2 linked regions of the Diceros bicornis minor genome follow. The protein of the gene in region 2 purifies or fractionates together with the protein of the main gene of each other region. This does not show direct contact. Links are inferred from orthologs where the notes say so. Each region holds a gene or a part of one and is shown on either strand. Other genes may lie near its edges.

Region 1 (7,648 bases), on a different chromosome or scaffold from region 2:
GGGGGGGGGACAGACACCCAGAGGTGTGGTTGTGTAGCTATGGCCATGGGCTGGGTCCCCACTCATTCAGCCAGCCAGCCAAGAGGCAACTATTGAGCGCCTACTGTATGCCTGTGCCGGACATTAATGGTGAACAAAACCAACAGCGTCCCTGCCCTGGAGGAGGGACTGGAAGGGCACAGAACTGTGTTTTGTGGACCGTGGGTTCCTGTGCATCTGTGATGTTTCTGGACCCGCCTCGGAATAAGGTTTGTGAAGGCATGAAATAAAATACAGGGGATGGCAAAGGAAATCTGTTATCTAGAAATGCATCTAAGATCATGGACTCCCTGAATTCTATCCTCAGGCCCTTGGGAGTTTGGGGACCTCGAGTTAAGAGCCCCTGGGAATTAGCAGGCATAACCACAGCAGAGAACCTGTCGGTCATCCAACATCTGAAACACTCTCCATCCCTCATTCTGCTCCAGCCTCACTGGCCTGCTTTCTATTCCTACCCCAGGGCCTTTGCATATGCTGTCCCCTCTGCCTGGGACACTCTGCTCACAGGATCCTTGGAATTCAGGCCTCAGCTCAAATGTCACCCCTCAATGAGGCCACCACCATCCCCCCAACCCCCATAAGTATCACCATGAGACCAGCATCCCAGCCACTGGAAAATGTCCTGTTTAATCTCCATCATGCCCTTTCACTCCTCAGGACAGCCAGGGACAGTCCCCTATGCATTGCTGTGTCCCCCCTTTGCCTGGCAGAGAGGAGACAAATCAATAAATATTTCTTGTTCGTTGAAAAGTCATTACTGAAGGGCCTGCCCAGTGGCACAATGGTTAAGTGCGTGCGCTCCGCTTTGGTGGCCCGAGCGTTTGCAGGTTCAGATCCCAGGTGCGCACTGACGCACTGCTTGGCAGGCCATGCTGTGGCGGCGTCCCACATAAAGTGGAGGCAGATGGGCACAGATGTTAGCTCAGGACCAGTCTTCCTCAGCAAAAAGAGGAGGATTGGCATGGATGTTAGCTCAAGGTGGATCTTCCTCACCAAAAAAAAAAAAGAAAAGTCATTACTGAGCACTTTCTCCGTCATCGATAATGGCATACAAGTGCTCGATAAATTGTCATGAGACAGTATAACATTGGTGATAATGCTGACAATAGGAAGCCTTTATGGAGCACTTAGTGTATACTGAGCATGTTTTAGGCACTTTATGGATATGAATTTGATTAATTGGTATAACAACCCCGAGGCAGGACTTGTTGTAACTCCCAGTTTTGAGGCACAGAGAGGGGAAGTGGCTTGCTCAAGGTCACACAGCCAGGCAGCAGGGGAGCTGGGATCGGAACCCGGTTCCCTCGGGCTCAGATTTGAGCAGTATAGCCCCTTGGAGACCTCCTTGGTCCCTGCCCTGTAGGGAGAGATGATCCGGTGGCAGCTGATGAGAACACAGTGATGGGGTTTTGATGGGGGCCCCCCAGGGCGGCCCGGGGAAGCTTCCCGGGAGAAACGGATCCTGAAAGAGGCGGGCAAGACGAGTGGACAGACAGATCAGCCGGCCAATGGGAGGCCGGGACCTACCTCCACCGTCTTGTACAGGAAGGAGTACACGAGGGAGGCGTTGGCGTTCTTCAGCGTGGTGGCCACCACTGCGGGCAGCGACGTTAAGGAACAGGTGCCATTTTGGAGGGCTCGGAGGGAGCACAGACCCCGAATCCCCACCCTGCCCCCCTCCAATCCCCAGCCTGAGCCACTGATGTGCTGTGCAACTCCTATCCTCAGCCCACCCTCTCTGGGCCTGAGCTGCCACCACCCAGGCCCCCAGGGCCCCTGCGCGCGGCCGGATACAGTAGAGGTTGCTGTGTTTGATCCACAGGAAGTGGACGCGGCCGTGGCTCAACAGCGGGGCCAGGGCGCCCTCCTCCTCCCGCTGCATGAGCAGGGGCATGAAGTGCTCGATCTCACTCATGGCCACATCGCCCTTGTAGTTGCGGCTGATCAGGGGCTACGGGTGGGCGGAGAAGGCCCGGTCACCACCGGGATCCGGGGACCCTCCACCTGAGGGCCCTCCGCCAGGCTCCGGCTCTTTGGGCCTCAGTTTCCTCCTCTGTAAAATGGGTACGTGATAACAACAGCTAACGTGTCCAGAGCCCTCCCTGAGGTCTAGGCCGTGTTCTACTGAAGTCTGGATGTTTGCTGACTGTCTTAGTTCTCACCACCACCCTGTGAGGCAGATAGTATTAACATCTCCATTTTACAGATGGGGAAACTGAGGCACGAACCGTGTCCATGATAATTGGGGAAACTGGAAATTGAATAAACGAAGGAAGGAAGGGAGGGAGGAAAGATTATAGAAAGAGAAACGAAAGATTATACCCATATATCTCTTTTAGCTCCTATAGTTTCGCCTGGCAGGCTGTAAGCAGTCAATAATAATAGTACCCACCTGATGATATTGTTTAGTCCAGTGTTTAGAACCTAGAAGACATGCAGCAGGTCCGCAGACACCTTAGCTGTCACCATTATTATTATCAGGAATATTATTTTCACCACCCCTGTTATTATTGCTATTGAATGACCAGATGAATGAGAGAGGGTTCCAGAAACGGACGGGGCAGCCCCAAAGGGGAATTAGGGTCCCCTGCCCCTCTATCTTCCCGCAATATTAAGACTTTGGATGGTGACGATGGTAAACATAATTTCAGTTGAATAAACGCCAAATGTTTGCAGCAGGGCTACGGTGGAAAGTGACTGACACGAATCGGGTGGTATTAATTCTTTTTGAGTGGGGACCCTTGTATTCCCCTGTTTACGGAGAGGGAGACTGAGGCTCAGAGAGGTAAACAGTGGAGGTGGGATTGGACCCGGGACTCCCAGGGATTGGGGGAGGGGATGTCCCCACGTGCCCAGGGCTTTCTGGGGCCTCCCCGCCTGCGAGGAGGGGCCGCTCCTGAGTCCGCGGGGGCGCAGCCTCACCTGTCCGTCCCCCCTCCCCTCGCGCCCAGCCTCACCTTGCCCTTGACGTCGAGGATGAAGACAGCCGAGGCGGACATGGTGGCGGCCGGCGGACCTGGGAGGCGGAGAGGGAGCGCCGGTTGGAGACGGCGGCGCTGCTTCCTTCTTCCTGCGGAAGCGCCCGCGCGCAGGTGTGCGCCCAGGTGCGCGCGTCTTAAAGGGGAGGCCGCCAGGTGAGCGGCGCTGTCGGCCGACGAGAAGACGCTGCGGGGGCTGCGAGGGGCGGAGCTTCGGATGCGACAGCTGCTCCGCCTCACTTTCCTTTTGCGCCCAGGAGTGCTGGTGGACGGAGACTCCAGACCAATCACCAATCCATCCATCCATCCATCCATCCATTATCTATCCATCCATCCATCGTCTCTCTCTCCATCCATCCATCATCCATCCATCCTCTATCCATCCATCCATCCACCCATCCGTCATCTCTCCCCCATCCATCCATCATCCCTCCCTCCCTCCATCCATCATACATCCATCATCTATCCATCCATCCATCCACCCATCCATCATCTATCCATCCATCCATCCATCCATCATCCATCCATCATCTATCCATCCATCTATCCACCCATCCATCATCTATCCATCCATCCATCCATCCACCCATCCATCATCTATCCATCCATCCATCCATCCATCATCTATCCATCATCTATCCATCCATCCATCCACCCATCCATCATCTATCCATCCATCCATCCACCCATCCATCATCCATCACCCATCCATCCATCCATCCATCCATCCATCCATCCATCCATCCATCCGTCATCCCTCATCTATCCATCCATCATCTATCTCTCCATCCATCCATCATCCATCCATCCATCCATTCATCTTGTTTCTCCTCTGTCTCTCCCACATGCACGTCCGCCCCAATAGGACAGGGTTTGTCCTGATCATGTCTATGTCCCCAGTGCCCACCACTGGGCACTCAATAATATTTGTCCAAGTCATTCATTCATTCATACAATAAATACTTACTGATTAATTTATTCTTTCACTCAAATACTCTCTAGTAAATTCTTTCACTCAGGAATTGTGGGTAGCATTCTGAGAAGAACCAATGTACCTGCTTTTTTTTTTTTTTGCTGAGGAAGATTCACTCTGAGCTAACATCTGTGCCAATCTTCCTCTATTTTTTAGTATGTGGGCCACCAGCACAGCACGGCTGCTAATAGAACGGTGTAGGTCCATGCCCAGGAACTGAACCCGGGCCGCCAAAGTGGAGCATGCCACCAGGGCTGGCCCCAGTGTAACTGCTTGTATCATTATTCCCAATGTTACTCTTATTCATTCCCTCCAAAAACATTTATAAGCTTCTATAACGTGACACTGAGATGTTGAGCAACTGTTGAAAAGATAAATGGTCATTATGATTATGACTATAATCATCATAATATTATTCACTCAACCAACATTTATGGAGCACCTACTGTGTGCTGAAGGGGACATGTGAAAGCTGCTTTCATTGTGGTGCTGATGACAATTGATACTGTTGGTGATGGACCATTCAGTGAGTGAATATTTGTTGAGCATCCTCTGTGGCGCTGTGGATGGCGACATAGGCAAAGCCACTCCACTGTTCTCGTTCTAGGGAGGGCGGGAGACACACAGCATAAGAACCCCAAAACAAGATGATCCCAGATGAGGATGGGAACACTGCAGGCAGCTGAACCGGCGACAGTGGGCTGGGGGTGTGTGCTGGAGAATGAATGGGGGGCTGTGATGCATGGAACTCAGAGACGAGGCCGACATTTGAAAAATTTCCACCACGACCTTATGAGCGGGACAATCCAAGAGAAGGAGTCTCTGCAGAGCCTGGCACAAAGCTGGTACTGATACTGTTTTTGCTGCTGTTGTTTAGATGTGTGCAGTTGAGCGTGCAGGCTCTAGAGCCAGCTGTCTGGGCTCAAGTCCTGGGTTTGCAACCCACGAGCTGCGCCGCCTTGGGGACCTGGCCTCCCCTCCCTGGACGTCGGTTTGCACATCTGTTAAACACGGTTAATTTCCGTACTTTCCTAATTAATTACAGCGCAGATGGCATGAGTTACTACACACAACGTGGTGCTCAGAGCAGTGCGTGGGGTGCGGCCGACCCTCCTGTTATTATTATTTGTTATTGTTATTATTTACTGTGTGGTGGTTAAGAACACAGGTGCAGGGGCCAGCCCGGTGGCACAGCAGTTAAGTTCACACGTTCCCCTTCAGTGGCCTGGGGTTCCCCGGTTAGGATCCTGGGCACGGACCTATTCATGGCTCATCAAGCCACGCTGAGGCGGCGTCCCATATAGAAGAGCTACAAATCTACAACTATGATACACAGCTATGTACTGGGTCTTTGGGGAGAAAAAAGGAAAAAAAAAAAAAGAGGAAGATTGGCAACAGATGTTAGCTCAGGGCCAATCTTCCTCAGAAAAAGAAAAAAGAACACAGGTGCTGCTGAATTAGCAACAAAATTCCTAAAGCTAGGAAAAGTTAAGGCAGGGAACCAAATCAAATGGGGGAAAAAAAAAAAACCCAAACCGAAAAACAAAACCATATTAAATCTTTGTTCTTGAAGATAAAATGCATTTTTCTCATTTTGGCTTGTGGCTGCGAGAAAAAATTCTGGGTTTCTGCCTTGTAACTATGTTTCCCTTACCAACGGGGACAAAGGAGTTTAATTTAGAAAATAAAACCTCCTAATGGAAATAGACCAGGACACTGCAAACGTTTCCTTCCGTAAACTCCTTGTTTAAAATACAAATTGTTTACATTGGAAATGCATGTGACATGAGAAACTTCGATTTGTTTCTTTTTAATTTTAAATAAAAATAGAGGCCGGCCCCGTGGCTTAGAGGTTAAGTGTGCGCGCTCCGCTGCTGGCGGCCCGGGTTCGGATCCCGGGCGTGCACCGACGCACCGCTTCTCCGGCCATGCTGAAGCCGCGTCCCACATACAGCAACTAGAAGGATGTGCAGCTATGACATACAACTATCTACTGGGGCTTTGGGGGAAACATAAATAAATAAAATTAAAAAAAAATAAATAGATAAATAAATAAATAAAAATAGAGGAAACTAACAAAAAAGAAATACACACAGTATTCCAAAGACTTGGTACAAAAAAAATCTCAGGAATAATTTTAATATTGATTACATGTTGAAATGATAAAAATTTGGGGTTAAATTAAATATATTATTAAAATTGGGGGGAAAAAGAACACAGGTGCTAGGTTTGAGTTCTGACTCCACCGTGGGCTGTGAGGCATTGGGCATTGCCTCAGTTTCCCCTTCTGTTAAAATGGGTGTAACAGTCGTGGTGTCACCTCCTTGAGCTGCACTCTCTGAGTTTGGGCGTAAATCCATGCCTGGCACAGGGTCTCAGCTCCCTGCCCCTCAGCTACTGGGGACACCAGGTTCCACCCCACAACTGTCTGCCATCTTAGAGGCAGGGAATTTTTGGGAAGGGAAATTAAGGAAGAGAAGGGAAATTCCATCTCAGCCTGGCTGGGACGCATCCTGCTCCACAGAGCGAGGGAGGAGTCTCCAGGGGGAGTCACTCAGCCCTCGTGGGCCTCATCCCTCATCCCTCATCCCTCATCCCTCATCCCTCATCCCTCATCCCCTCTCCCCTCCTTCCCCAAACCCAGCCCCAGCCCTTTACCAGCCCCTGGGAGTGGGCTGGGCGTCCCCACAGGGGACTCAAGGGAGGGAGGTGAAAAGATAGCAACTGACAGAACCGCCACTCAGCAACTGACAGAACCGCCACTCGCCTCTGCACCATATCTAACACCCACAGGAACAGGACGACAGCGGCAGTGGCCTCTCCTCGAGCACTTATCTTCCCACCTTCTTTGTGTCTTTTTTTTTCCCCCAAGTTTGTTATTTTTTGCTGTATTTGATTCTGGTCTTCCCAGTTATGGTTTTCCTGCTAATTCAGGTCCTAAGGGGAAGACCTTCATGTCTTCTTATGTTGGCAAAAGCCGAGGCACAGAGAGGTGAAGCCACTTGCCTGAGGACACACAGCAGGGAGGCAGTGGAGTCAGAATTTGACTCAGCCCACTGCCAACTGGTCTGCTCATTGCCGGATACCAGTATGACTGTTACTAACACATAGTTCACGCTTATGTGTGCTCGCTATACCCAGGCGCTGCCCCAACCGTCTCCCAGGTGGCAATCCTCCTCAAAACAACTCTTTGAGTTAAGGAAGCCTATATCTCCATTTGACAGATGGGAAAACTGAGGCTCAGAGGGCAAGTGACTTGTACAAGCCACCCAGGCCTCAGGGGCAGAGTTAGAATTCCACCCCTGCAAGGTGCAAGGTTTTACATTGCCTCTGCCCAAAAGAGGGGTGTCCTCCACCATCCTGCCAGCCCCTTGCTCAGCAGGTGACCCAGGGGGATTGAGGGCGCTGCCAGGCCCTCGCCCCAGGCCAGGCCCTGTTGAACCTCCAAAGGGTCCTTCTTCTGGGACCCTGGGATGTTTTCAGACAGTAAATAGAACCCCAAAGCCTGGACCCAGCACCATGGAATCTGAAACTAAGGCCTGTTTGGCTGAAAAATTCATGAGCTCAAAAGCTTCAGTGGGGTCAGAGAACAGAGCAGCTCTGTGTGCCCAGCTGCCCCGCCTCAGCTGCCACCTCCCCCGTCCCCAGGGGCTGTGGC
Region 2 (7,195 bases):
TAAAATTTTCTACAGAAAAAGGCAAATGGAAAAATCCTAACACTTTTTGACAAAGATATGATTTTCAAAACCTATAAGCCAAGAAATATAAACGCTTAGATAAATCTATGTTCTCTTTTAAATTGCTTCCTACTTTAAATATTATCCTGCATAAAAGAAACTGAATAAAAGTAACAAAGGAATGAAAGAAAGGCAAAATCAAAAACTGAAAACAATTCATAAAGCAAAGACTGAATTACAAGCACCAAAAACAGCTAAGCAAGTTGTTGCAGTTTGAAGAAAGATAGTTTTAGATTTTCTGAAGTTAAACCTAAATAAGAGTTCTAAGGTTTCGATACCAATTAAGTCCCGCTGTATACACAAAATTTAAAAATCCTCATCAAATGTAAATAAAGGGATTAAGCATTCAAAAATCTGTTTTGGTATGTAGTTTCCCAATTTAATTTTTTTAATTAAAAATAATCTTTTGGAAAATACTTGTTCAACTTTTTCAGTTTGTATAGAGTTTTTGTAAGTCACAAAAAACTTGGGTTTCTGTTTTTGTACACCATTGATATCAAGACTACTTTTTAAAAATAAGTAGTAGGATGAAATATCACCAAGGCATTGCTGACAATTTTTGTACTTCATAGTTTCACTCTAAAATTCACCCACAAATGCAGACCTGCTATCAGTGAAAAAGATCAGATAAAAGAACAAGCAACTGTTCCCAAAAGAAATTGAATTGAGGTTTCCTAAACAATAATGTTAATTTCAAGTGTAACCACCCCCCCCACTCCCCACCCCCCCCAACAACCTTAGACAAAATAGACATTCAAGTTTGTGCTGATCAATGGTGCAGTAAACAGCACTTTGCTTATAATTTGTAAGGCAAAAGGATATTTTCTCCAATTGAATGCAAAACACCTAAGAATGAATGACATTTAAAAACCAGTACACTATACCATGAAATGAACTGAGTTAAATATTTACACCTGATAGCTCTTGCAATACCTTGTTTTAAAAGTGTAACTCAGAAATGAAACACTTCAGTAGCAACTACAACCAGCTACTTAGTAAATTAGTGACCATTCCACAAATGTTGAGTGTTTGACAGTTCCTTTAAACCAAAAGCTTCAGAGTACACAAATATTTGTGAAAAGTCTCCTTAAAACAAATAACAAGAACAGTGACTATTTACAATGAAAACATTCAGTCTTCTACATCATATATCCTGTACTGGTCATATGATGTCCAGTACAGGAATTACCTACCTGATAACCTGATGATAAGAATGCATTTATACATGGATTAGAAGTATTAAAAGACGTGATCCAGTTCAAGTTACAAATTCAAATTTCAGCAGTCACTAGGCTGTAATCTCAAATAAGTTATTTCTCTTTTGCAGATGTAAAAACCCAAGATGAGATAAAATAGAGGTGATTCAATCACACTCACCTAACTTGAAATGGAGGAAATAATTGGTGTATTACTGTGAAACGCTTTTTATTCAAGCATGCTATATTACAAACTTTAAGAGTGGAATAAAAGTGATGAGATCATGGGTACCTGGAGAGTCTATATTTTTAAAACAAAAGTTAAGGTGTATATAGTCTAACAAATACTATGGGAAACAGTAGAATATTTAAAATCCAACTATCCCCAGAAAAAATCCAACACATGAAGTCAATCCAAGTATTTTTTAGAGTCAGTCAGCAAAAATCAGGTGTACACAACACCTGAAAGTTAAGATCACTAAGAAATCTTCATTCACTCCTCTCTTCTGTTAACCAATCCCTACAGGAGACAAAAAAGTTACTTTCCTTTCTCCCTACATCAAAATAAGATTCTTCTTCACAGGCAGATTTCCATGCCCAGGGATAAAATAACACGAAGAAAAATACTTAAGTGTCAATAAGTACCGAAAAACTAAGTGTTCAGCACAGGAAGGGAATCCACAAATGAGAAAATATGTGACAGCCTCCCACCCCTCCAAAAGCCATTTAATCAGCTTTATACACATTTACTGCTGAAGTACACTCTGAGCGAGCGGTTCAACGGATCTCCTACAGCAAACCCTAACAGAGAAACGTAACCAACCGTCCTGACTCTTTCAGGGAGTCAGGAAGATCGGGAGAATTATTAGAAACTGACGTCCGCAGGATCAGGAGTTTGAGAGAAAGGTAAGCAGCGTACTCGCAGGTGAGTTGGGAAAAAAAAAATCCGGAAAATTGGGAAAGAAGTTGGTCGGAAGGTTAGAGGGAGGCGAGGCCGATGTCCTGTTCTGAGAGGACGGCATTGCAGGTGCAAACAGCAATTAACTGAGCATCTGGAAATGCTGAAGGGAGTTCCACGAAAGACCTGACCAGGGTACAAGATACAAGAACGCTGATATGTGGCTCAGAGAAGACACGCGGGGGTGGGACCCTCCCCGCTAACCCCAGTCTCCCTGAACGAGCCCTCAAATGAGGATCGCAGCCGGAGAAAGTCAATGGGTCCAAGGAGGCCCGCACCAGCCGGGGAACGCCACAGCATGGAACGCGGCCGCGAGCGGAGCCTGCCGGTCCGAGGCCTCGGGGTCGGCTCTCAAGAAGTCAGAGCAGCCCCTGAGGCTCCAGGCTCCAGGCCCAACCTCTGTCCTCTCTTCTCACCCCCCACAGCCTGGGACCGGCCCCTGGGATTGATAGGAAGCTTCTGGCCGAAGGCTCCCGGCAGGCGCGGGGCAAAAGAGGCAATATGCTCTTAGCGCCGCGAGTGACACTCACCGGCCCGAAACCTCGAATGAAACCAGCAGCTCTGGGGGCGGCGGCAGCAGTGGCAGCAGGAACCTAACATCCAAAATGGCGGCTCCCTCGGCCTCACCACCGCTAGAGCAGGCGGAGGGATCCTTAGGAGGAAGGGAGTTTTAAACTAACTTCACACACTATCACAGAAACTTCGGTCCCTATCGTCCTCTTCTTGTCGATTCCGCGTCCCCTGACTGTAACTTCCCGTGCCTCCCCTCTCCTATTATCCAAGAACTCGGACCCCGCCGAGGACTATTTGCCAAGGAGGAGGTGACTGCTCCTGGCAGAGCGACGCAGAGCGTAGCAAGAGTCGGGGCTGTCACTGATGACGCGAGACGCTGCTGCCGAGTCACCGCTGCGAAGAGTCTGTGCGAGAAAGATCCGGCCGACGCCGGGGCTGACAGACATTGGTTCCGCTTGGGACGGCGGGGGCAGTGCTGGACTGTCAGGAAGCGGCGGGGGCCACCTGAAGCGGGCGGAGCTCGCAAGGTAGTCAAGGAAGCGGGAAAGGCGAGGTAGGTGGGGGCGGAGAACACAGCCAGGCTGAGCCGGTCCTAATCCACGAGAATCCCAAACTCTAGCACCTTTGAGATCCTTAGTTTTCTCTTTAGGTAACGTCGGGAACATGCTCCATGTGATCTTGGATTCTGTGGGTTTTTGGTATCTTTGCAACATATTTATAAAAAGAGAGGATGACACAGAGTAGATTCCAAGCCCAGTCTCACTGCTCGACCTCATACACTGGACAAGTCATTTAAGCCCTCAGGGCCTCAGTTTCCTCATATGTAAAAAGATTTGGTCTACCCTTCCGGAGCGGGCTTTCTGACTGTGACTCCATGAACTAATGACCTGAGCCAAAGACAGTCTAACCAGACAGTTCCTGGCTTGATAAATAATTACTGACACGTGACACGAATATTTTCCATGTGAATGTGAAGAGGGCCAGGATATCTCGGCCCATTTAAAGGAAAAGTAACCTAACTAAACAAAAATCCTTCAGGTAGATTCGCAATAAATTACCTCGAACGTGAATAGAGCGCCGCACCCGGCTGGATGCCAAAGAGAACTGACCTAACCACAAATCTTGAGTTTAGGACCTGTCGTACTCAGGAGGTTGCACTTTTGTCCTTAGACAGCCACTTTCATGCAGGGATTTCAAGAAGTGAACTCAGTAGGCCCGCCTGTACAATTTTATTCTTGAACTACTGGGGTATGTCAAGTGGCTGGAAAGAAAGGCGAGCAAGGGGGTGATAATGGTAATTATCATTTTTTATTATTAAATATTGATATCACATTGTTTATAAAAGCATCTTCGTGTGTATAATCTAATTTGACCCTCCGACAACTTCCTGAGTCAGACCATTCAAGCATAGGTAATTTAGTTTTACAAATAAGGAGACCGGGGCTCAGAGAGACTGTGACTTGCTGAAAGACACTCCCTCTCTCCTCCTCGACTGGGCTTCGGCTATGCGTGAAACCTTTGGAATTAGGAAACGGTACACACCCACTCGCCCCCACCCGCACACTCAGGGTGGAATCAACCGAGAGCAAATGGTTTGGGAAGCAGGATGCTTGTAGAATTCAGTCGCCTCATACCTTCAGGGCTGCACTACTGTGCAGTGCAGCCCTGGATCACATGCCTGGTAAATAGTAGCATAAAACTAGAACACCATAATGATGCCGTAACGCAGATTCCTCTGAGGTATAGCTATGCATGAACACATGCTAAAGTACAGTTTGGGGCTCCCATAAAAGTAAGGAGTTTGCAGGTTGCAAAGCAGTTAGCTAAAGTATTCCGTTTGCAAGTCACAAAAATTTGCTTAAAGGTCAAATTTAAATGTTTACCATTGTGAACCACAAAAGTTAAACCATCTTCTTAAGAAAGAGGAAGGAGCTTTTTTCCAACCATGCCAAATGGCAGAGCATTAAAGAGAAAATGACAGACATTATAAAATGTAAACCCCCTCCATATCTTTTATTTTTACTTATATTTATCTTTATAATTACCAAACCCCTCCTCTAATGCCATTGAAAATTAAAAGCAATTAACCCAATATATAGCATGGTTATCATTGTCCTGGGATCTTTGGCTTCTGTGGCTAGAGATTATAGTTTGGGAAGACTTACTCCCCATCTACTCAAAGGTAATCCCTAATTTCAGATAAATAAATTATAGCACATCAATAAAATGGAATATTATGCTGCCAATAAAAATGAAACTATAGCTCTATCTTTATTATGATATGCCAGATTTTGAAAAATATATTACAAAATGGTATTATAAAATGAGCTTATAAAAAATAGAAAAAAAGTTGAAGGATAAAACTAAAATGGTTATCTTTGGATAGGATTATAGAGATCCAAGGGATAATCTTGGGATTATAGAGGATTTTTACTTTCCTAACTATGTTTTGTTTTCGCAATGATCATATCGTACTTTTATTTGGGAAAAAAAAGACTTTTACATTTTGAAAAAAAAAGTTCTTATCAGATAATGCAGTTTTATGCATCCAAATGCTGAAGGAGATTTTTCTGTTTAAAACAGCAACAGCCTCAAAGGATTAAACAAACTTCTAGGAAGAGATAATGGCTGGGAGAAAAGATCATTATTTTCATGGTTTAGTTTATTATTGATAACTTGTATGCTTCAACTTAACAAATAATAACAACAAAAAACAAAACTGAAGAGGCATCAGCCAGGAGTCAGACCACTCAGATGCCAGTTCGGGCTGAGTTCAACTCACTTTGTGCCCTGAGCAAGGTGTTTAACATCTCTGGGCGTGTTTCCTCAGCTGTCCAATATTTATTTATGATTAGCCTTGTTCCAAAATGGATTCAAAGTCACTTGTTACCCAGAGGAATGAAATGTGTGAAAGCACTTGGAAAAGTATCAAGCATCATGAAAATATAAGTATAAAAACATTTTGTGCCACCTCACAATTCAACCAAAGCTTTCATTGATTGCCCACTACAAATAACAGTAGTGCATTGTGTCTTATAATTTACAAAAGTGTTTTCATATACTTTGATTCATTCGTTCCTCACCCACCATGAGCTTATAAACCAGGTAGGCATTATAGCACAGTAGTTAAAAGCCTGGGTTAAAACTCTGCCCTGCCTTTCTTTATTGTGTGAACTGCAGCAAGTTACTTAACATCTCTGAGCATTTCTGAATCTCAGTGTACCTGTCTGTAAAATGGAGTTAACAGTAGCATTGGCATCTTAAGACTGGTGTGATAATAAAACGAGCTGATACACTTAAAGTACTTAGAACAGAGGCTGGCACATGGTAAGGGCTCAGTAAATATGAACTCTCTTTGGGATAAATATCATCCCCACTTTAGAGATGAGGAAACAGAAGATCAGAGATATTAAATGATTTGTCACATCTTCATACAGCAGAGGCCAAACTCAAATCTAGATCTTCCATCATTGTATATATCTTTTAGCCCATATAGTAATCATTCAGTGAACGAGCTGCCTGAGTCCTTCCACTACACCACACTGCTCTGCGTGCACAGAATCTGTAATAGACGTTTCAAAAGAGATTGTTCCTACCCTCCAGGTAATTATAATCTCATTGAGGAAAACTAGATATTTTTTTAAAATCCTCAAACACATAAAAGTATCACTGATATTATTACTCAGCAGATAAGTCCCAGTACCCCCCAAAGAAAGCAGAAAAATGAGAGGTCACTGGGCGCCAGAGCAGTGACAGGGCTTTTGGAAGGCATGGCATGTCAGTTGGAATTGTGGTATTAGAAGGGGACCCTCTCTCTTGGTCTTAAATGCAGTGGTGTTCTTAAATGACTCAGTATCAGCAGCTGAAGCCCTGTGACCTTACAGCAGATGGGGAAGCTCTGTCTGCAGAAATGTGGTCAGCATCTCTCACAAGGTACTCTTCCTGCATCTCCACGTGCCCGAGTCCTCAGCCGAGAAAGGAGAGTGAAGAGGGGGTGCAACCCTGTGGGAAATAGAGTGACGTGAGCCAAAGAGGCAGCTCCACTGGCCTGTTTTGTTATCGTTTGAGTCACCAGAATCTATAAATAAGCCTGAAAGTCAGAGAGAAATTAGTCCCTCTGTTGTTTATGTGTTTTCGAAAAAAGCATTTTTACAATTCTTTTAAGCGTGGTCCCTCGTCACAATTCATCCTGGTCTGAGAAAAGCGTTTAGGAATTAATTCTTCAATTATGACAAGAGCCAGAAATGATGTAAAAATTAAAATTCCAACAGCCAACTCCATGTACTCTTTGACCTTCTACCAAGAGCATTAGGAAATCTACTATATTTTCCTTCAAAGTAAAGACCAAAGCCCGCGAGTATGAGGCTCAGCCAAGCTCCCTCTTTGCTTTAGTGATTTTTTTTAAAGAGGCAGCCCAAAGTGCCACCAGAGATGTTTTATGTCACAATATTTTATTTTTTATATAATA

What was found.
Region 1: the proteins of AP1G1 (region 2) and AP1M2 purify together in Homo sapiens (affinity purification with mass spectrometry; 4 studies listed by BioGRID and IntAct, counting the BioPlex papers as one, with this or other methods). This does not show direct contact. The link is inferred for Diceros bicornis minor from reciprocal best matches to the Homo sapiens genes AP1G1 and AP1M2.

Annotation. Positions count from the first base shown.
Region 1 is NC_080769.1:8,687,737-8,695,384, reverse strand, and holds the start of AP1M2 (AP-1 complex subunit mu-2), read right to left. Parts: upstream 3,093-7,648; 5' UTR 3,039-3,092; coding exon 2,997-3,038; intron 1,991-2,996; coding exon 1,834-1,990; intron 1,635-1,833; coding exon 1,567-1,634; intron 1-1,566. UniProt on the Homo sapiens protein: Subunit of clathrin-associated adaptor protein complex 1 that plays a role in protein sorting in the trans-Golgi network (TGN) and endosomes.
Region 2 is NC_080771.1:23,534,181-23,541,375, reverse strand, and holds the start of AP1G1 (AP-1 complex subunit gamma-1), read right to left. Parts: upstream 3,055-7,195; 5' UTR 2,745-3,054; intron 1-2,744. UniProt on the Homo sapiens protein: Subunit of clathrin-associated adaptor protein complex 1 that plays a role in protein sorting in the late-Golgi/trans-Golgi network (TGN) and/or endosomes.